Linked DNA regions of Astyanax mexicanus. The protein of the gene in region 1 interacts with the protein of each later gene in a pairwise test. Links are inferred from orthologs where the notes say so. Each region holds a gene or a part of one and is shown in the gene's direction. Other genes may lie near its edges.

Region 1 (11,254 bases):
GTTCATGTGTACAACAGTACTTATAATTACAATTAAACAAAATAATAAAATGTAGAGTTTGGCAGTGTCGTTTATGGACTGATGATATTCTTGATAAGATTATTTAAGCATATTATAGATACAATAAGACAATTTATCACAATAAATTACAGTAAACAGTAAAATATTGTCCTGTTGCCCATGCAACTATACCAGTTTTTGTTCCCCCAAACGCAATGCGAGGAACAAATATTAGTGGTAGAATAGCGGTAGACTGTTTGGTTTCATTCAGTTCATTCAGAGACGTTCTGGTTCAGTACGACAGGTCCTGTCAGTGTTAAAATGAGAGGCAGGGATATATAAGCGTGAATTAAACACTTATTCCAGTTTAAACTGAGTTACACAAGGTAACGTTTGCTAAACTGTGGTAATTTGTTGCTCAATGTTACCGGCTTGTAACCCTTTTGTTGCTTAACTTGGTTAGTAGCAGTTAATCTCTCCTAACACAGACTTAATTCATACCCCTCTGCAAGTATTTTATTAATGTTTCGTTCAATAAATATACACTGTAGAGAACCCTATAATGCATTGTTTTCTGATGACTTATGCAACATTTTTATTTCTTTACTTTATACATTAATTTTAGCCAGTAACATTAGCTCTGACTTTAAAAATATGACCATCAACATGCCCACTCATTATGTTCTACTTCTCCCACAAGCAAAGCAGTCTAGAACCGGGTCTGAGCTCTACTGCAGGAGACTCTACCGGTCAGTGCGACAGCTGGATTAACTTTCTCCGCTTGTGCCTTCAGGATTCAGGATTATCTCTCAGCTCAATCCCACCTGTAATCTCTTTACTTGAGGCCCATGCTTCCTGAGCTCTGACCACAGAACCGCGTCCACGTCTGAGCGGAATGTAACCTCTGGATAAAAAAACTGGCTTCAATTTAACCTGAAATTTCTGGTTTGGGATACGTCTATCTTCAGTGCTTCAGTGGAGCAGAACGATGACCACGACCAGACGACCAGATGTCCGCACTGGATGCTGCTTCTAAAGGGAACATCATGACCGGTCACTGTCTTAAGGTAAACTGAAAGATGTTGTTGTTGTTGTTGGTATTGCTGCTATTATGAATACACTTAATATAAAAATACAGTAGAATACAGTACACTGTAAACCCACAATTTGTTTAAATTGAAATTAATTAAGTCTGTTTTTTATATGAAATTTGATATTTCCAAACATTACTCAACTATTTAGGGTTAGGTGAGCATTTGTGTGTATACATATACAGTATGTTGCCATTGACCACAATCTATTTAAATAGTATTTATAGCCCCCATTTTCTGACACTCACCATCAGTGTGTAGTAATTTCCCTCAGGCTACTTTAGGTAAACTTATATATTATATCATATGTTATGATTAACTGTCTGGCCTCTGTGTTGTAGGCTGTAAGAGCAAGCATCATTTTCTTAACTGATAACTCTGTGTTGGCTGTGTGCTCACTATACTGTTCACTATATAGCATTCCATGTATCCATCTACTTTTTTAATGAGTACTTCAGATCTATATTTTACTTAAATGAAATCAAAAATACCATTATAGACTATACTATCATTTAGTATAATATAGTATTTTAAAAATGATTATGTGTACACTGTCTGATGCCTGACACACTCTCTTAATAGAGATCTGAGAAGATTTTGGCTCTCAGATATCATTAAAATGATGGAGGGATACATACGCAATATGCAGGGAACTGTGCAGCAAAATAGTGCCTAAAAACATTCCCTGTATGTGAGTACATTTGCCACTATTTGACCATTATCATCATTCCATATAAAACTCAGCAGATTCACTGGTGGGTTGAATAGTTAATAAAATATACATATATATATATATATATGTATATTTATGTTATAGTGCTTCCATTTATGATTTCATTCACTTTGAATGAGTTCATCTCAAACCCCCACTCTGAATAATAATCATAATATATAGCAATATGAGTGTTTTTACCTGAAAAAAGCACCACATACAAAATAATCATACATACAGTAAAAAGTAACAATAATTTCTCATTTTTAACTAAGTATGTTTTATCCTGTGAGCCAAGCTGAAGAACAGTTAGTGTAGTTTCAGATTTCTCCTGGATGCTCCTCAGCCAGCATGTGTACATTATGTTCAGTTCCGTCAGCAGCTCACCTGATTTACCACATTTACCAATTTTCCAAACCAGGTGTTGATTAATATGATGAGAACTAGAAATAACTCTATTAAACCCAGATGAGGAGGAGAGATTAGAAGATGTTTAAAGGAAAACAGGGCTGTAAAATCTCTGTTTTTTGTAAAATTGCTGTTAGTATTTACTGTAATGCTATAAGTGTTTTACTGAGCTTAGACACTTATTCCTTACTGAAATTTCCACATGTGCCTAAAACATTTGCACAATACTGTATACCTCTACCATCAATAACTGAACACTATCAATAACACAACAAGCAAGACTAGAAATAACACTGACTGTCCATTGAAGGCAGCGGGCTGGATTAGCGTGTTTGGTGATTAGAGTTAAGGAGCTAACGGAAGATTTGTAGACTGGGGGAAAGTTCCTCTCCTCAGAGAAGATCCAGCTGCTATATGTTGTTTACATATAGTAAAATCAAAAAGCAGTACGACACAGCAGTGCTGCTGGAGTTTTTAAACACCTCTGTGTCTCTGCTGGACTCACCAACAGCGTCCTGTGAGCACTGATGAAGGACAAACACAAACTGTGCAGCAACAGACTCAGAGCTTATATCTCTGACTTTACATCTACAAGATGTAGCAGCTGTATCTGATCCACTTATACCAGCACAACACACACCGACCCCCCCACATTTACTACATCCTCTGTGGGGTCTTCAGTGTCGTGTAGATCTCCTGTAATAACAGTAACTATGTTTTTCAGATCTATTAGTGATGAAACCCTGAAAAGAAAAGTCTGAGAGGAGTCTCTTCAATCAATTCTCACCACCAGAACCTACAGATCTTATGATGGGGTAAGATCAACATGTCTACACACCAACTAGCCTGTTAATTATGTTACTGGTTATAAAGAACAGCCTCATTAAATAGATGTGTATCTGTATTTAACCCATTACAACAGTCTAAATCATGTTTCTGTTATAAATGTGTCTCAGACCATCTCCTGAAGTGGTTTGAGCAATTGGATTTGTACAAGGTAACGCTGGTAAGTAGGTTCTACATAGCACTGAAGGTAGAACCTGAGTTTTTAACTCAATCTTCAAACAGGATAAGAAAAATAATACCTAAAATTAACACCTAAATAAATATGAATAAAATAGAATAAATTGTATGAAGTGTACTTTGTCCTTTGGGAGTGTAATTCAATACAAGCATAAGCATTCAAAATAATGCAATAATAACCAAGGACACGTCTACATTTCTTTATTTTAACTTTGAACCTTTTAACTATTTGTATGTGCTGCACCTGCACTCTATTATACCATTTTATACTATATTACACTATATCATATAATCGGTATAAACTAATGTATAATCTACTGTCTTTACCATATACTATACACTTTTGCATATTTAAATTGAACTTACCCTTGGTAATTTTGTATTTTTGTTTTGTTGCTTGCTTGTAACACCTACATTGCATATATCCTATTGGACTTTTACATGTGTACTCTAATTCATGTTTCTTAGTCTATCTTGTGCTTATATACAGTTTAGATGTTTTATCCATCTATTAATACATTCAATCTAAATGTTGATACCTGCACCAAGAAATAATCCTTGTGCCTTTTGTACTAGGCGAATAAAGATTCTAATTCTGATTCTGATTCTAATAACCAAGTAAATAATATGTTTTCCAAAATAAAAAGAATCTGTAAGTACTGTAATGTCATCTACCTCAGTGATTAGATTAAACAGCACTAGTGGTGATCAGTATAATCAGTATGTGATGCATTCTCTATGAACCTCTGATGGCGGACTGGGCTTCCTGCTACAGGATGAATGAGCTGCTTGGACAAAGTGGCATCCAGATCCAGACATTATGGATCAATAAACATAAGCAGCTGGAGCAGCACTTACCAGCATTAGCCAGCCTGCACTATCCTGCACTCAGAACCAGTACAGGATGAATGATGGTAGTTGGAGATGGGTGGGGTTGTTGTGTGCTGCTGATGTCCGGTCCACACTGACCGGGCTTTGTTCCTTTAACAATCTATTTTTTTATTTTATTATTTTTAACAAAATAATTCGTTTTTACAGTATATGTTATTATAACATCAAGATAAGTCTCCGTTCACTGAAAGAGGTGGGGTAGAAGTGGGTTTGACATTTCACCTGGGGGTGAAACAATAATTTTTAGAGCCAAACCCACATGGGACACGGTGCCAGCAATTGACCAAATAAATTTAATTTTAATATTATATAATATCTATAATATCTATAATATAAATATCTAATATACTATAGATATGCATGAATATGTAAAGAAATATTTTGGGGTTGTTTTCATTTACTTAATAAAATAGTGTTTTAATTTTTTTTAAATAAAAAATGTATCCAGTTCCACTGCATCATTAAAATGATCAGTGTTGCTGTGGGGGATTTTGTCATTGATATATTAATACCATTTTTTTTCCAAAATATTTCATTTGTGCCATAGAGGGTGTAACAATCACAATAAATGGCCTTGCCATTAATATCACAATATTTCAAAAATATCTCAATATAGTATTGTATATATAGTTCTTGACAATATATAACCCTAGTTAGGCTGTTGTGATCATGTATCGTGAATATGAAATATTCTGAAGTGTAGTGTGCTGATTCTCTGTTAGGACATGATCCTTTATTTCATACAGATACAGTATATAGGGTGGATTTAAATTGTGTTTATAAATTGTATTTGTGATTGCAGTAATTGTGAGAATGTGTAATTTTACCAAGCATGTGTTGGCTGAAATCTTTTTTTCATTTCTCTGTAAATAATATCTCATCGGTTACAAGAAAAAACAAACCCTGTAGTAGAGATAGAAAATCCTATGGTTCTGTATCGGTATCAGATGATTTAAAGCTGAAATGTAATTAATTAAGCTGACCCTTACAGTGGTCAGTTCATAAAGGACATTTAACCCTCACTAACTGGATACCCCTCTCAGGAGCGTATATTACAGCTTGTACAGTAAATAGCTACAGCACAGCAAAACAACTAGCCAAACAAATGATGCTGACCATACAGAACATCAAATTGGTCAGTCCACATTTAACCACCACCAAAAGTACAGCAGCAGCAGTGATAAATCTAAATCTTACTGTTTAATAATCAGCACTTTTGTGACATATTGCCAAGTTTAATGTTGCATCTAGCCCCACCCTCAAGCTGTGTTGGTGATTGGCTGATCAAGCTGAAAAATGATAAGAGATCAGTCCCAAAAACACTGATCTGTCCCTCTTTATCCTGTAGTGTGGGCCAAGCAAGAGGGAAGGCCTTGTCTCTTTTACTTTTATTCAGTGTAAATGGAACAATACCTCAACCAAAAGAAAAAGAGCTGAATAAATAAAGACAGAATGGCAAAATAACCCTCAGTGCCGTCATGCGTGCCGTAAATGCTTCATTTCCAGCCCAGCAAAGCCTCTCAAAGCCTGGAAATGCGACTCTTTCATGCGATTATCCTCAGTGATAATGAAGGTGGGTGCGGGTGAGGAGGGGTACAGGCTGCACCCGCTGCTAGTTTTCAGTCGGTATCAAAGGAAATCCAAATTTAAAAGGAATGCAAATAACTTTCACTGCTCCTCCGTCCCCCATCACCCCTTTAAGATCCCCCCCCACTCCCCCGTCCCAGGGTTTTCATGGGGCTGACTCATAATGGACTGTTGGCATGGCAACCGTCTCCTCAATGTTAGAGGGAAGGCCTCTAAAGGGTTGCCCTGGTAACCATGCAGTTCTGCCCTGTCACCCCATCCTCTTAGCCCAACCAATTCGCCCAGGGTCCCGAGAGCCCGATCAGGTCTTAGTACAGAGATCTGATATATAAGTTCATAAGTAAACTTAGAATTAACTACAGTATCCAGGTTGTGTTGACTTGTGGTGTCAATCGATTTTAAAATATTTTTTTTGATGAACCACATAAATATTATGTCATTAATTACACATTTTTACTTATTAAGACTAAAGCTTTTATTATTGGATATTTAAATGTGAATAAAATGACAGAAGTGTATAATACTTATAAAAGTCAATTGCTTTAAAATATGAATTGTATTAGTCAAAATAATATTCTGTGATGAATCATAATTGTAAAAAATTATGACAAAACAAATGTACATAATGGTACTTCCCTGTATTTTTAATAATTTTGTTATGTGATATATCTGGCAAACAGACTTTTATCATAAAATTAGTTTTAAAGCTTTTTATATGAGATTATTTTAATAAAGCGCTTTAGCTAAACATAGTATACATACATGTAATTTAGTGTATTTTTGAAATCAATTATTCCTTTTTTTAAATTATTAAATAAATTACAATTTATCTGAACTGAAATACTCTTTTTAGGCAGATATTTAGGCTACGTCTTATATTATAAGCTGATATCATATATTATCGCGTCCGTTGGGTGTTTGTTTAGCTCATAATTTACATAATTCATCTAAATAATTCATGAATTTTACCGCAAGTATAAGCCTGTAATCAACGGGTTTGGTTTGAAATCATTTTTTTCCCACCTATTTTCCGCCAAAATAAGCTTTCCTGCGCTCTGATTGGTTATATAGCAAACAGCTTGAGACTACGGGCTGTTAGCCAATCAGAGCGCACGTGGGAGGACAGAATTAGCCAATCCGAGCGCAGGAAGGGCGTGGAAAACATGAGTAAGCCTGTCCGCGCGTGCTGTGGGGCAAACCAAGTGGTGAGGCGGGGGGGGCAGCAGAGCTGTTAATGCCCCAGCTGATCACACAGCACGCGCCTGCCGTCTCAGCACAACCGTAAGTGATGAATTTAGACTTTATCGTCTTATTTTTACTTAAATCGGTCTTAAATTCTGGTCTTTCTGCTGGTCTTATAGGTAAATATGCAGTTATTTCAAGGCTGCGTCCCAAACCACACACTGCACGATAACACTGCACTCTGTAGGCTGAGCAGCTAGTGTACTATAGATGAGTGTGTACTAAAGCTGGGGTACTGTTCTGATGTACTGTTTAGTGGTAGTGTGCGGTTTGGTACTATAGACTGTGAGACTTTAATGTAATGCTCTGTATGAAGTCAGTATAGTACAGTATAGTGCACTAAAATCATAATGATATGATTATGGACTGTGTCAAGGTTAAGTCACTGTAATTGACAAATCCACAATCAATCATTTCATATACAGCTCTGGAAAAAAAATAAGAGAGCACTTAATGAGGATGTTTTTCTTTAATTTTTCCAAATTAAAAACCTCTGGAATATAATCAAGAGGAAGATGGATGATCACAAGCCATCAAACTAAACTGAACTGCTTGAATTTTTGCACCAGAAATGGCATAAAGTTATCCAAAAGCAGCGTGTAAGACTGGTGGAGGAGAACATGCCAAGATGCATAGACAGTTTTGATAGTGATTTATATAGCGATGTAACTATTGCATATGCACATAAAGTGATGTTAAAACGTTATATTGTGCCATAAATATCGTGTCGAATCAGATATTAATGGCTTTTAATACGTCTTACTTAATACTGCATCTTCTAATTTCTGATTGAATCACAACACACCAGCAGGTATAGAGGATGTCTGTGCTGCTACCATCAATCAGCGTTTTGTGTGATTAATTTTTATGCTAGTAACAGGGTTAAAGGGTTGTGACAGGGAACACATGAGCAAGGCAGAGGTCATATTTGTTGAATGTTATATTATTTCCGCTCCAAAAACTTGTGTTATTTCCAAACACCATTTATTGGCTGTGTTAATGTGTTAAACTATCAATTATGAGCTTTTCTAGAATGAAGCATTTCACATTGAATTGTTAACAGTCTTAAATGTTTAATCCTGCAAAGAAATGGCATCCTATGATCCTACTATGATGATGGAGCAGAGTAGACATGGCTGTATGCCTGTATATTTACAGTGTTCTGAACCTCTGTTAGGCCTGTGATGTATTTATAGCACTGACTGGCCTGGATTCTCCCTTCTCACACTCCTCATTCACACTGGAACCTGTGTGGAATATAACAGCACACCTGAATCAGTGACAAGACAAGATAAGACAAGACAACCATACACTCATCATAAACTGCCGAAATTTAGACATACCATTGTCTGCCAAGTATAAATGCATGCACAATTTAGATACTAGTCACATGACATGACCAGGTGTAAACAGGGTTGCATGATATTACTTTTTTAATTTGCATCCAACCTCTTATTACGGATTCAAAAGCCAGATTTAAAAAATACAATTCTGAAATTTGTGGCCAGTTTAGTCTCTGTGCTAAATACTCATGAGCTCATTAACATGTAATTTTTGATTGGCTGTTACTGAAGTCACATGGCAGTGTGAGTGTAGTGTAATCTAATAAATCAGACCCGGAGTATAAGTATCAGAAGTGACAGCCCAGATGAAAAAGAGGGTTTAGTGAGACGGCCCTGTAGACGGTAATCGCTGACTCACTCTGGGGAATTGTCCTGATCAGACGATGATTACTCGTGTCGCTGATTTGATGAATTAGGCGGCGTCTCCAGACGAAATTTCTAGTCCTTAGGGAACACCGTGACCTATAGTAGTGCAGCGCTAGATCAGCTGACCCAACATGAGTGGCTGTTCCCTTATAATGTTCCCATATAATGAACATTAAAGTAGGGGGGCACCAAAATATACATGTTTGGCCCAAAATAACTTGCCACTTTTTACCACTAAATAAATTAAACAGTCTAAAAATATATTTTTTCTTGTTTTTCAAAGGAAAAGCACTTACTTAACACTTAGCGTTAATATCCTAACAGAAAAAAGCAAAGCACATTATATTTTAATAGTGAATTTATTTCAGCAGTGCTGTTCTTGTCACACATTTAACTAGTCTAATCATTAAATGTACCTCAGTAGTGCTACTCTAATCATAGGTTTACTTCTGCAGTGCTATTTTACTCATAAATGTACATCAGCAGTTCTATTCTAATTATAAGTGTAATTCAGTAGTGCTATTCTAATCATAAACCATAACAGTGCTATTCCAAACATAAATGTACCTCAGCAGTGCTATTCTAATCATAAATGTACCTCAGCAGGGCTGTTTTGAAGATGCTAAGGCTAAGGTCGCTCAGCTAACATTACTATGTCTGTCCTCTACAGCTCATATCTTTCAGTTAGAAAACAGTCAATTTGTAAAGTAGGAATAAACTAAATACAGAGTGTGATAAGTGATGCTGAACATTCCATTTCATTTAATGAAAATAGAGCATAGAAATTAACTGGCCATTTCTCCTCTCTTCCTGTTGTCTCTGCTACTGCTAAAAGATTCCTACATTATAGTGTAGAATAGTGGATGCATGCATGAAAGAAAATACAAAGTAATTAACCTGAAAATTATCATTTCTGTGTAGTCTAATGCCTTATGAATATGAAGAATAATTAAACAGTTGAAATCTTAAGTCGCTTTTGAGAGTTTTAATATTCAAAATGCTCAGTATTCAGATAATAATAATAATTCTGAATTATCTCCAGACTGTCTCTTTAAGACTGGGTTGGTGGTCCCAGTGCATTACCCATTCCGAGTCTCCATGCTTCACTGCTCCGTTTAACTTGTCAGCAGGTTGTCGTGTTGATGGGCGGCGCTGAATGTGGTAATTGATTTTGTTTGGGTAGGTTAGGGGGGGATCCTGATGGGTTTTAGGGTTGAGAGTATGTAAATGAAAATGGGACCATTATAGATGATGGGTGTGACCTGAATGGAGTAGACTCATTAAAGTCTCAGATTCTCGTCTGTACTGGTTTGGTGTTTCAGGCTCTGATGAGCTTTAGTTAAAACTCCAGCGCTGTTAAAGGGTAGCATTCAGTTGATTAGCAAAAAGTCGTTCTTAAACTGGAAACATACAGAAAAACTCTGTGCACTCTGTGATATAAACCCACTGACATCTTCTGAATTCTGTTAGGAAATGCTGTCATTTGTATGAATTGGTTTGAGATAAGGAATAATAATTGGATTTGGGCATAAGGGACGTGGGTGGATTTTAATAGACTGCTCACAAAAATTGAACGCTTAAATCACACATTGGCTTATTCAGACTCTGAATAAACTTCCTCTCAACTTTGGAAAGAACCAGGGCAATTCTGGAGTTCTCTGCTGTGGTTGCTTGGTTGATGCCCTTCCACGATCCTGTCCTGCTATTCTGATGTAACAGCCTTTGTCCTGGTATCTCCTCCATGCTCTTGAGACCTGAAAGGCTGCGGGTGCTGCCTGATGCTACCAGTAGTGACAAGGACAACAGCAAAATGCAAAGCTAGAGAAGAATCAGTCAGGAAGGATAAGAAGAGAGTATTTGGGTGTGGACACTACCTGCTAAACCCTTCACTTGTTGGTGGTTGTCTTACTGTTGCTTCTCTTGTGCACCTGTTGTCAGTTTAATTCGCATCACTTGTGCATCCTAACTGGGCAGAACAATATCTCTAATAGTCGAAGCAATAGTCAAATAATGCTGGCATTCTGTCTATTCATTGCTTTGATGAAAGTTCGCTTTTAGGGCTAATTGCCTGGAATTTTGACTATTGAGTGCTAATTGGCTGGGAATGAATTGTGTCTACTAAAGCTGTTCCTACACTACACGACTTTAAAAAGACTCAAAAAAGACTTTTAACAGACTGAAGTCTGACACCCTCTCGCATCTAAAGACTCATCACAGACTTTTTACTAACAGACTGAGATTTAGCAAAGACTGGGGATCACTAACTGCAAGACTGCAACTAGATTCTTTCTGAGATTATTTCCCATCATGCTTCTGGTGGAATTTAGATATTAATTAAAAAATAATGTGCATATCAATACTGTGATTTATCAGAGACTTGTTTTTTTGCCACACTGTTAGTTCTTGATATTTTTAATAATATATATTATTTAATAATATATAATAATATATATTTTTAATACATAATATAACGACTTTAAAATGCTACCTGTGTTTAAAATCCTGTACATATTAAAGTAAGAACCATATAAGGCATTTTAACTGCAAAATGTGTTCTTTTTTAAATCGCTTGTAAACAGTCACATAAAATA
Region 2 (11,911 bases), on another chromosome or scaffold:
GATGCTCCTTGCTGTCCTTATCAATCAGGAATCTGTTTGAGCAGGGAGACATATATTTTGTTTATTTGGCCTAGTAAAAATGGCACAAGGAATTAATTAAAACCCTTTTTTAAAGCCCTGGGTATACTAAATGACTAAACTCATAGAATGTTGTAAACAGACTAGGTATCTCACACTCCAGGTTAAAAAAAATCCATTGCACTCTAAACTACTAAAGATTCTACACTACACCACTCCAACCTGCTGCTGCTATTGTTGTTTGTGTCACTATTTGTGCTGATTCAAAACAAAAGACAGGTAAAAAATTGCTTTGGGTAAGGTTGTGGATGAAAAACAGGGACAGCACAGTCTATACAGACTGCAGAGCATGTTGGAGGTAAGTAGCACAGTGGCCTGTGCAAGCTATGCATAAGGCAGATATTTGCTTAATATTTCCGTTCCACCTTAAATACTGTGCCAAATCATAGCAGCTATATCTTTTAAGGTGGAATATACAAATTCAATTAAGAAGCAAGTCAAATAATACGCAATCTTGCTTGATATGCTCTGACTTGTCTGTGTGCTAGGGATAGATGGCAAAAATCATTCCCAAAAGCAATCTAATAAACTATGTTAGAACAGAAACTGTGCTGTGCACGACACAGAAATGCTATTATGAATTCAGATACTCACAAGAAGACTGGATTGTCCCTGTAATCTTCAATAGCTTTCTTCTCAAGCTCCGGCCCCCCTTCAGCGACGAAAGTAGCCATCCGGTCGATGATGAGGACCAAGTCTTCATCCTCTGGGGGGGAAACTTTAAGCAGGCTATGAGTACGCCGCCATAACTCACACACTCACAACTGCGTACTAACAAGACAGGACACGGGGAGTGGAGGGCTGTGAAACATGCAGTATCCACAAAAGCAGCATGTTTCGGCAGCTTCAATCAAACCCTGGGCACTTTATCCCAAAAGAACAGTCTTTAACAAGATGCTAACACTATTAGCCCAGGGTACATTTCAGATGGATTCAAGTAGTTAAATAACTCTCAGTTTTTTGAGGTCTTGCTTTAATCAAAGTATATTTTTAATCCTTATTAACGACCCTTAGCTAATTTTAGTAAAGTTACGTTTTGCTTGGTATGTGGATAACATGTATGTTCACCAAGGAGAACATGTATGAATTCTATCATTCTATCCTTACATCACATTATATTTTTGTATCCCTCCCTTTTTAAATGTCTACATTTATCACATTCATAATTACATGAAGGTAATTATGATTCAAACAAGCTGTGAGTGTCTACCTTTAACCTCCAGGTAATGTTCATCCTCTTCCTCTGCATCCTCCTCATCTGGGGAGCTGAAGACACTCGGCCTGGGGATCTGTAACTGGGTCTTCTTGGACTGGGAATAGCTCTTAAACTGGTTTAGCATGCTGCTAACACCCAAGCCGGGTCGTTTCCCAACTAGAATGCTCTTCTTCTGACTCTGAGAGGAGAGGGTGGAGCTTTTGGAGTCTGTGCTGGATCCTGGGGGAATACCATAAAATATATTGAACTGTTAAAAGATATCTTACGAGTGACCAACCTTCACAATACATAAATACAATCTAATCTGTCAGTGCTTCACACAAGCTAATTTACACATGTTTTTTGGGCCTTGTTTTTATTAGGTATCTACCTAGATATCATAATTATGATAAATATAAGATGTTATTGATGGACCTGTAATTGCAACTAATAGCACTGTTTTTGGAAATAAAACCCATTGACCAAATATTTCACAATGGAGAAGACAGAAGTTGCATAAGGTATGTAAAAAAATATTAAGCTTAGATTCAACAATAACTAAAACATATTTTATAACCATGCTTTGATGTAATAGTCATTATTGCTGTAAGAATTTAAATGTCAATTTTCTACATATTTGTAAGATATGGATTACTGTTTATTTCAAAGGAGTAATTTATTTATTTAGTTCTTTTAGGGTTTTTTGTTTCATTTACAATATTTGCTAGTATGAGGTTCATAACAATATAGACATTTTGTTATTGCCTTGTAATGTATGAACAAAAGCGTATGACACTAAATACATGTAAACAGGGACTAAACCAACACACACTTCTGTAAACAATAACCACTCTACAATGGACACCCCTCTGTATTGGGGAGGTTAAAACATGTCTGAAAAGGGTTTTGAACCTGAATCAGTGCTAGATTTCTCCTTTTGCATCTTCAGGAACTGCTGCAGGAAGCTTCCGTCATTCACAAACTTGTTCGAGGTTGATCCCTGTAAAGTTGGGCTGCTGAAAAACAGTATAAATACAATATGAAATTAATACCCAAAGAGTGCTTTGTGCTCTCAACAATCCAAAGTGAAATAATGAGAATTTGTAGATAAGTTACCTTGGTGGTATTGGCTTGCTAGGAGCTGATATGTTCCGTTTAGCTTGCTCTGCCATTTTTGCCTCGATTTCACGCTTCTTCTGAGCGATCAACTCCTCCTGCCTCATAATAACGTTGAGCTTGCTCTTCTGAGCAAATTTATTATTGTTATTATTCTTCCAGCCTCCTCGACCTGCAACACAAAATGTACAGTTAACATCAGGCTGAAACTGGCTTAGGATCTGTTATAATACACAACATATGATCAAAGGTCTAAAAGTATGGCATATACATTAGGCACTTTTCTGCTTAGCGCTTTTAGGTAAAGCCCAGGGACCTACAATTAAAAAATGTGTTCCCTCAATAATGTATTGAGTATTCTTAATTATGAATTGAGACATAAGTAATATATATATATATATATATATATATATATATATATATATATATATATATATATATATATATATATATATATCTAATAAAGGGATAAATAACATAATTGAATGAGAAGTTGTGTATTTAAACTTTTGACTAGTACTGTAGCTTATGTCTCATATATTTCTACAGACAATAATAAATAACACTGGGAATGAACCTCTACTATTTATAAAGTGCTATTTTTTACATTTTAATACACAGGGGCAGCAAAAAAGCAGCTCTGCAAAAAAAATAAAGAGACCACTTAAAAAATTATGAGTTTCTTTGATTTTACCTAATTGAAAACCTCCAGAATATAATCAAGAGGAGGATGGATGATCACAAACCATCAAACCGAGCTGAACTGCTTGATTTTTTTAATCAGGAGTAAAGACATAAAGTTATCCACAATCAGTGTGAAAGACTGGTGGAGGAGAACATCACAAGAAGAATGAAAACTCTGAATAAAAACCAGGGTTATTCCACCAAATATTGGTTTCTGTACTCTTAAAACTTTATGAATATGAACTTGTTTTCTTTGCATTGTTTGAGGTCTGAAAGCTCTGCATATTGTTTTGTTATTTCAGCCATTTCTCGATTGCATTTTCTACAAATAAATGCTCTAAATGACATGTTCATTTAATTCAAACATATATCTATAAATAGCAAAATCAGAGAAACTGATTCAGAAAATTAAGTGCTCTCTTGTTTTTTTTCAGAGCTGTATAACTAGAGCTGACATTAGCTAACCTAATCTAAACTAACGCTAGTTAACCTACAGCCGCTGACTAAGCTAACTTGGTTAGTTAGCCATAGTTGAAGATTAAAATACAATAAATCAACGAATTAAGTTACTAATTTTACGTATTACACAAAGGAATGTTAGTATTAGTAACTGCTAGTCAAATAAGTAACTTATATTAAGGATAAAGAATAAAGCTAAGCTAGCTAAGGGTGTGTATAATCTAGCTAAACTAGGCTAAAATATGCTAAGCTAAGCTAAAGCCCTAGCTAACACCATGCTAGCCTTATTACTAGCTAGCGATACGCAGGCAGCTCAAACACCATAATCAGCGGATCCCCGCGGCTACACTCATTATTGTTTTAATGTGTTTTAATATAGTTAATTTACCTCCATCGTTCGCCTCCATTTTCAGCCCCTTGTTTACTCAGTTGGTCAGTTGGGGTTGGATCTTTGCCTGCCGGGAGACGGGCGGCAGTGGTGGGTCTGCGTGACGTCACCCGCCAGCCACTTTTTCATCGACCCGGCAGTGCCAGGCACGTACCCGGCAGTACTAAAAACTGTCAGGGAGCTTCCTGACAGTACGCCGGCACTACTAAAAACTGTCAGGGGGCTAACTGACAGTACGCCGGCAGTTTTAAAAACTGTCAGGGAGCTTCCTGACAGTACGCCGGCACTACTAAAAACTGTCAGAGAGCTTCCTGACAGTACGCCGGCAGTATTAAAAACTGCCAGGGAGCTTGCTGACAGTACGCCGGCACTATTAAAAACTGTCAGGGAGCTTCCTGACAGTATGCCGGCACTACTAAAAACTGTCAGGGGGCTTGCTCACAGTACGCCGGCACTATTAAAAACTGTCAGGGAGCTTGCTGACAGTATGCCGGCAGTTTTAAAAACTGTCAGGTAGCTTCGTGACAGTACGCCGGCACTACTAAAAACTGTCAGGGAGCTTCCTGACAGTACGCCGGCAGTTTTAAAAACTGTCAGGGAGCTTCCTGACAGTACGCCGGCACTACTAAAAACTGTCAGGGAGCTTCCTGACAGTACGCCGGCAGTTTTAAAAACTGCCAGGGAGCTTGCTGACAGTACGCCGGCACTATTAAAAACTGTCAGGGAGCTTCCTGACAGTATGCCGGCACTACTAAAAACTGTCAGGGGGCTTGCTCACAGTACGCCGGCACTATTAAAAACTGTCAGGGAGCTTGCTGACAGTATGCCGGCAGTTTTAAAAACTGTCAGGTAGCTTCGTGACAGTACGCCGGCACTACTAAAAACTGTCAGGGAGCTTCCTGACAGTACGCCGGCAGTTTTAAAAACTGTCAGGGAGCTTCCTGACAGTACGCCGGCACTACTAAAAACTGTCAGGGAGCTTCCTGACAGTACGCCGGCAGTTTTAAAAACTGCCAGGGAGCTTGCTGACAGTACGCCGGCACTATTAAAAACTGTCAGGGAGCTTCCTGACAGTATGCCGGCACTACTAAAAACTGTCAGGGGGCTTGCTCACAGTACGCCGGCACTATTAAAAACTGTCAGGGAGCTTGCTGACAGTATGCCGGCAGTTTTAAAAACTGTCAGGGAGCCTGCTGACAGTACGCCGGCAGTTTTAAAAACTGTCAAGGAGCTAGCCTAGGATGGACTCTTTCATATGGGAGTGGACCTGTTTTGGCATTATGGAAAAATCATGAGAAATTTAATTTTAAGCATAAATAATAAAAATAAATAAATAATATAAAATAAACAATACAGTGAATTTTTCCCAAACTTGCAGGAGTCATAGCCTAGGACAGACTCTTTCAAATTGTAGAGATCATGAGATCATGAGAAATTTAATTTTAAACATGAATAAAATAATAATAATAATAATAATAATAATAATAATAATATAAAATAAACAATACAGTGAAATTTGCCGAAACTTGCAGAGGTGATAGCCTATGTTTTGGCATCAAATGCTAACAGTGGAACTGTTTTGGTATTATGGGAAAATCATGAGAAATTAAATTTTAAGCATAAAAAATAAATAAATTAATATAAAATAAACAATACAGTGAAATTTGCCCAAACTTGCAGGAGTCAAAGCCTAGGACAGACTCGTTCAAATGGTAATGGAACTGTTTTGGCATTATGGGAAAATCATGAGAAATGTCATTTTAAGCATAAAAAAAAAAAAATGTATATAAAATAAACAAAACAGTGAAATTTGCCCAAATATGCAGGAGTCATGGTAGTGGATCTATTTTGGCATTATGGGAAAATCATGAGAAATTTAATTTTAAACAAGAATAAAAAAACATTAATAATAATAATAATAATAATAATAATAATAATAATAATAATAATAATAATAATATAAAATAAAAAATACAGTGAAATTTGCCCAAACTTGCAGAGGTGACAGCCTATGTTGTACTCTTTCAAATGGTAGTGGACCAGTTTTGGCATTATGGGAAAATCATGAAAAATTTTATTTTAAACACGCATACAATTTTTTTATTAATATAAAATAAACCATACAGTGAAAATTGCCCACACTTGCAGAAGTGATAGTCTAGGATGGACTCTTTTACAAGGTACTGGATCTGTTTTGGTTTTTTGGGAAACTCATGAGAAATTTAATTTGAAGCATGGATTGAAAAAAGTAATATTAATATAAAACTCTCTCTCTCTCTCTCTCTCTTAAACACTGATGGGATATTATATCAAATAGATAATGTACTGCACAAAATATACAGTGAGGTGAGTTATTTTAATCCGTTTTTTCTCGTTTCTGGGCTTAATGTATGTCTGAATTAATATAATAGACTGAAACGTGTCGGTCTCCCGTTCTCTGTGTTTTTTAAGCGTGCTGTTTACCGTAAAATCGCACGTATACGCGCATCTAAACTTAAAGCGCGGATGACTTGACTGAGAATTTCCGAAGCGCGGATAGCTTGACTCCGGTCTTACTGTCAGCTAGCCCCCTGACAGTTTTTAGTAGTGCCGGCGTACTGTCAGGAAGCTCCCTGACAGTTTTTAGTAGTGCCGGCGTACTGTCAGGAAGCTACCTGACAGTTTTTAGTACTGCCGGGTACGTGCCTGACACTGCCGGGTCGATGAAAAAGTGGCTGGCGGGTGACGTCACGAAGACCCACCACTGCCGCCCGTCTCCCGGCAGGCAGAGATCCAACCCCCTCTCCAGTTGGTACTCAGTAACTGTTTCGCCTCGTCTCGAAAACAAACCCGCTGTACTGTAGAGGAGTTCACACCGCCGCCCGCAGCGCAGGAGGAGAAACTGTGGAGCAGATTTTACTGAATGGAGCTGGAGATGGTGAAGGAGTTCCCCACAGATAAGTAGAGCAAAACACTCTTAAATTAGACATTTTCAGAAGTGCTGCTTTTTGTTGGACTTTTTTTTAGGTCTCTTTCAGACCAAGCTTATAATACACAGAGGTGGAAAAAGTATTGAAAAATTGTAATTAAGTAAAAGTACCATTACTTTGCTAAAATTCTACTCAAGTAAAAGTACCCATCTAAAAAATCTACTCGAGGAAAAAGTAAAAAAGTACTCAATTTACAATTTACTTTGAGTAAAAGTTACATAGTTACTTTTAATTATTTGATGTAAAAAAAGTACAAAACATAAATTAAATATATTTAATGAATTATTATTCCAAATAATAATTTGGACCTTTCAGGCAGTATTTGTTCAGACCACCCCATAAAACATTTTTAAAAACAAGTGGCATAGGTTTCTATGATCCATTTTTTTCTTTACCGTTTAAAAGTTATGGTCATATACATGACTATAAACTGTATTGCTATAGTTTTACAGTTCATTATCATTTTTTTAACTTGCCATTGCCATGCTTTAACTGCTATTTACATGTTTTTGTTTTTTACATTTAAGAAGATTGTTTAATGTTTCCAATAAAAAACTTAAGGAATTATCATGAAAAACATAAAATCATACAAAAAAAAAAAAAACCTAAAGAAACACATATCGATGGGTAGCATAACTCTACAGAACACCGGTTTCCCCCGAGCACAGCTGATTTACACAGCGTCTCTCTCGCTAACCGTAATAAACACTGCTGGGAAACGTTCAGCTGCGCTGCCATGGAGAACAAAACTCAACAAAACCCCAACATTTAATTATTTACTCAGTAACGGGGAGTTTTCCAATGTAGTGAAGTAAATTACTTGTGTCAAAATGTACTTGAGTAAAAAGAGTAAAAATTACCTATTTTATAAACTACTTAAAAAATTACAAATTAAAAAATAAAATATAAAATCTACTCAATTACAGTAATTTGAATAAATGTAATTCATGACTTTCCTGATAATACACTATACACACATACACTACACGACTTTGAAAAGACTTTTAACAGACTAAAGTCTGACACCCTCTCACATCTAAAGACAAGTCACAGACTTTTTACTAACAGGCTAAGATTTTGCAAAGACTGGGGATCACTAACTGCAAGACTGCAACTAGATTCTTTCTGAGATCATTTTCCCATCATGCTTCTGGTGGAGTTTACATGCAATACATATTAAGTTATCATACAAATAATGTGCTTATCAATACTGTGATTTATCAGAGACTCACAACTTTTCTGCCCATCAACAGTTTATTTTTCTGCCACACTGTTAGTTCTTGATATTTTTAAATAGAATACATTTCGTGTTCAACTAAGCTTTGTTATAACCTTGTATAGCAAAGAATCACAGTTTCAGAATCTCAGTTATACATTTGCCTTTGTTTTAGATAGAATTAATGCAATAAAGAACATCATTCTTGCAAAATGTTTATTTATTAAAATTGTTTGTATCAAAAATAACACTGCACAATAAGACAAAGTAGTGCAAAATAAAATAACTTTAAATATAATTATTTTAAAGAACCATATAGGGCATATTAAATGCAAAATGTGTTCTTTTTCAAATTGTTTGTAAACCACATCACTATTTACTTCACTATTGTGTGAGCCGGAATTATGTGACAACATGAGATCCTAATGCATGGATACGACTTAATTAAGCGTGGGAACAAGAACCTAATATGTGGGAACGAGATAATTAAGGCATGGGAACAAGATCCTAATGAGTGGCCCCTACTTATTTAAGAATGGGAACGAGAACCTAATGCGCAGGAACGAGATAACTAAGCCATAGTAACAAGATCCTAATGCGTGGCCACGACTTATTAAAGAGTGGGAAGGAGATCCTAATGCATGGCCATGACTTAGTAAAGCGTGAGAACGAGAACCTAATGCGCATACATATATATATATAAAAGTGTGCGTACCTCTGACAGCAAAACCTCAGATCCGTGATCGATAAAGTTCCTTTTCTTCGCCATTTTCCTAATAAGAGTATTGCAAGGCATATTTGACTAATTAGCATATTATAATCTTCATAATGGAGGAAGGAGACAAGGCAGAGTATTGTGTTCCTGCATGTGCGCTTAATTTGAATTTGATTGTGATGTATTACAATAGTGTGGGTCAAAATCTACTTAAATACGGTTTCATACATCTGTTTTTTTTAGTGCATATAGAACTTTTCATTTTCATTTCATTTTATTATTAATTCCACACAACTCTTAGTTCATGAGGCCCCAGGTCTGCTACAACTGGTCTAAAACAGAAATGTATAGTGCTAGAGACACAGACTTGAGTAAAAATCTGAGTAGAAGTGTTCTATCAAAAAAAGTGATACTTATCCCATTTGGGGTCAGAGAGCAAGGGCAGACATGGTACAATGCCCCTGGAACAGCAGACAATATGGATATTATATTAAACCTGGGTATCAAACCCAAAAGCTTGGTATTGATTATCCAGCATTTAAACTGCTAAGCCAACACTGCCCTAAATGACCTAAATGGTCATATGTGCCTGCAAAACTTTTTTTTTTTTGCAAGGGCAATTTTTAAAACTGTACAGACATAGATAATATACAGAAGTAGAATTAAAGACAAATTCCCACTTATAATTTAATTACAAGTAAACACAAAGCTAATCTTAAATATCAAACAAATAGCACATTTAATTCTGGTTCATCTTGCTGAACCCCCTCTGTGCTGCAGCCCAGGTAAAGCAGGTGTAATCTGAACCCCGGGTGAGGCGTCACCCCCCGTTCTCAGCGGGGGCTCGCTGCCATCGGCACTCCAGCTGACCGACAGCCTCATTCAGGTCCAAAAACGGCTGCCATTCAGCGCAATGAAAACGATGAAATGCCTCCATTATAATGGTGAGGTGAAGGGCCCGGCAGGGCGGACACCCGATCCCCTCTCCATTGTCTCGTACATTTCATATCTGAAATATCTGCCCACACTCCCTTCTGGTACACACTGACACTCACTCACATGGGGCTCTGGGGCTCACTCTGGCTGAGCGGGAATGGGGAACAAGCAGACCATTTTCACTGCCCAGCAACTGGACGCATATCAGGTCAGTCAGGAGAAGCTGCATAGAATTAATTAATTTATTTATGGCTTGTGTTAGAGAGGTGCAAAAAGAACATCTATAATAATGCAGTTTAAATGTGCAAACTCTTCATGTCCTTTTGTAATTTAACGTAGTGTGTATCAGTGTGTATGAATTGTGGACTGTAAAAGTTATATTATTGTTAGTGAATTATTTCGTTCATCCTCTTAAATTCACAGGACTGCACATACTTTACCAGAAAAGAGATTTTAAGGTAAGTCTTTTCCTCTTTAAACTTTAAGCTGCCCTACACTGAACAATGTAAGACAGGACAATTTGAAATAATTATTTGTGTTTACTCAACTGAGTTTAGTTAAAAGTTTTTCCTACTCACATTTTCAGTTCAGCATCTCATTTTTAGTAGTTGAGTCTTATATCAGTAAATGAGTAAATGCCTAAATTTTGTACGATTTGTTGGAGGTTTATTCTTATCTGCAGGTCACACCTCCCAGTATCACATGGGGAGGGGAGGCCTTCCTTTTTTAGACTCTTGACAAGCAGGCACTTAGAGAGTTGCTCCACTCTAGAGCTGTGAAATATATACAACTCTGGAAAAAATAAGAAGCCATTTAAAAATGATGAGTTTCTTTGATTTTAGCAAATGGAAAACCTCTGCAATATAATAAAGAGGAAGATGGATGATCACAAACCATCAACCCTGCATTTTACTCTGAGAACTTTCTGTAATAACTACACTAATAACACAGTACTGTACTTTTACTTTCAGTACTTCAGTACTACATTTTACAACTATTAAAGTTGAATACTTTAATACCTCCACTTAAGTGTGGAGCTTAAGGAACACTTTATCTTCTACTCAATTCACTATTTTGATAGAGCACTTGTACTTTTACTCTTTTAAGTCTGGGTATCTAGTACTTTATACATGTCTGCTCTGTAATCAGACTATATTATTTTATGTTTGCAAGATTTTAGATTTAGTTAAATGGGCTTTAGGCTCCTTAAAAGTTTTTGGCAATACCACCCACAGTGGACAAAGCAGGGGGTGGTAATGATCGTGACCTGCAGTGTCTGGTTAGAATTGTCCATGCTATCTGACAAACGATTCTGGCACACATATCTAACAGATCAGGGCAGTGTTCTTTAGTTTCTATGGGACAGGCCAAAAGTCATGGGACAGTGTAATTACACTATACACATATTAAATAAGTATTGCCATTGGTGCAGTTGCCTTTAAGACAAGGGGGACCCCACTTTTAAATCCACTTTCTCTTCAAATCACCTTTTCTTTAACATTATCTACAGGTTGTGAACACACAAAGAAAAATAAGTACAGATTTGTATTTAAAAGATTATAAAGCTGGGGCTGTATCTTATATTGAGGTACAACAGAGTACCTTTCAGTGGAAGTATTTTTTTGTACTTGTGTTTTTTGAACCAGTAAAGATTATAAAGATTATAAACCTTATCATCAACTGAATATGTGTCAAGAACATGATGATCTAAAATTGTCTGGCTTTTACATTAAAAATGTATAAATAAAATATGTATTGTTTATTAGTACAGTGATACAGAATACCGGATGTAACTTTTGGCTGGTTAAATGGTACAAATTTGTACTTTCTGCTGTTATTGATCCTGTTAAGGTCAATATTATACCTTTGAGGGTACAATTATGTAAAGTGTAGCTTTGAGTACAAAAGCTGTTTTTTAGTGTGAAGAAAATTTTTAAATTAAGTTAATTTTTGCAAAAACATACAGTATGTCACTGGTTATCCAAATTAATGAGATGCCCTTACCATTATCTTCTAGACTGTTCCATAGGTACCGCGATTTGGCTCCTCAGCTGGTTCCACTGGACTACACCAACCAGCCAGATGTGCGTTTGCCGTACGAGCTGATTGGCAGCATGCCGGAGCTGAAGGTGCAGTATATCTCACACAGCGCATC

Evidence for each region.
Region 2: the proteins of trim2a (region 1) and cib3 interact in binary tests that used the Homo sapiens proteins (3 or more experiments, as listed by UniProt). The two-hybrid records come from large-scale screens. The link is inferred for Astyanax mexicanus from reciprocal best matches to the Homo sapiens genes TRIM2 and CIB3.

What each region holds. Positions count from the first base shown.
Region 1 is NC_064432.1:21,841,805-21,853,058, reverse strand, and holds the start of trim2a (tripartite motif-containing protein 2), read left to right. Parts: upstream 1-6,929; 5' UTR 6,930-6,993; intron 6,994-11,254. UniProt on the Homo sapiens protein: UBE2D1-dependent E3 ubiquitin-protein ligase that mediates the ubiquitination of NEFL and of phosphorylated BCL2L11. Plays a neuroprotective function. May play a role in neuronal rapid ischemic tolerance.
Region 2 is NC_064411.1:47,997,535-48,009,445, forward strand, and holds the start of cib3 (calcium and integrin-binding family member 3), read left to right. Parts: upstream 1-7,160; 5' UTR 7,161-9,913; coding exon 9,914-9,964; intron 9,965-10,179; coding exon 10,180-10,214; intron 10,215-11,773; coding exon 11,774-11,885; intron 11,886-11,911. Other genes in the region: sugp1 (SURP and G-patch domain-containing protein 1), read right to left, coding at 1-32, 673-796, 1,289-1,513, 2,186-2,289, 2,390-2,561, 3,921-3,939. UniProt on the Homo sapiens protein: Acts a an auxiliary subunit of the sensory mechanoelectrical transduction (MET) channel in hair cells. Plays a role in regulating hair cell MET channel localization and function.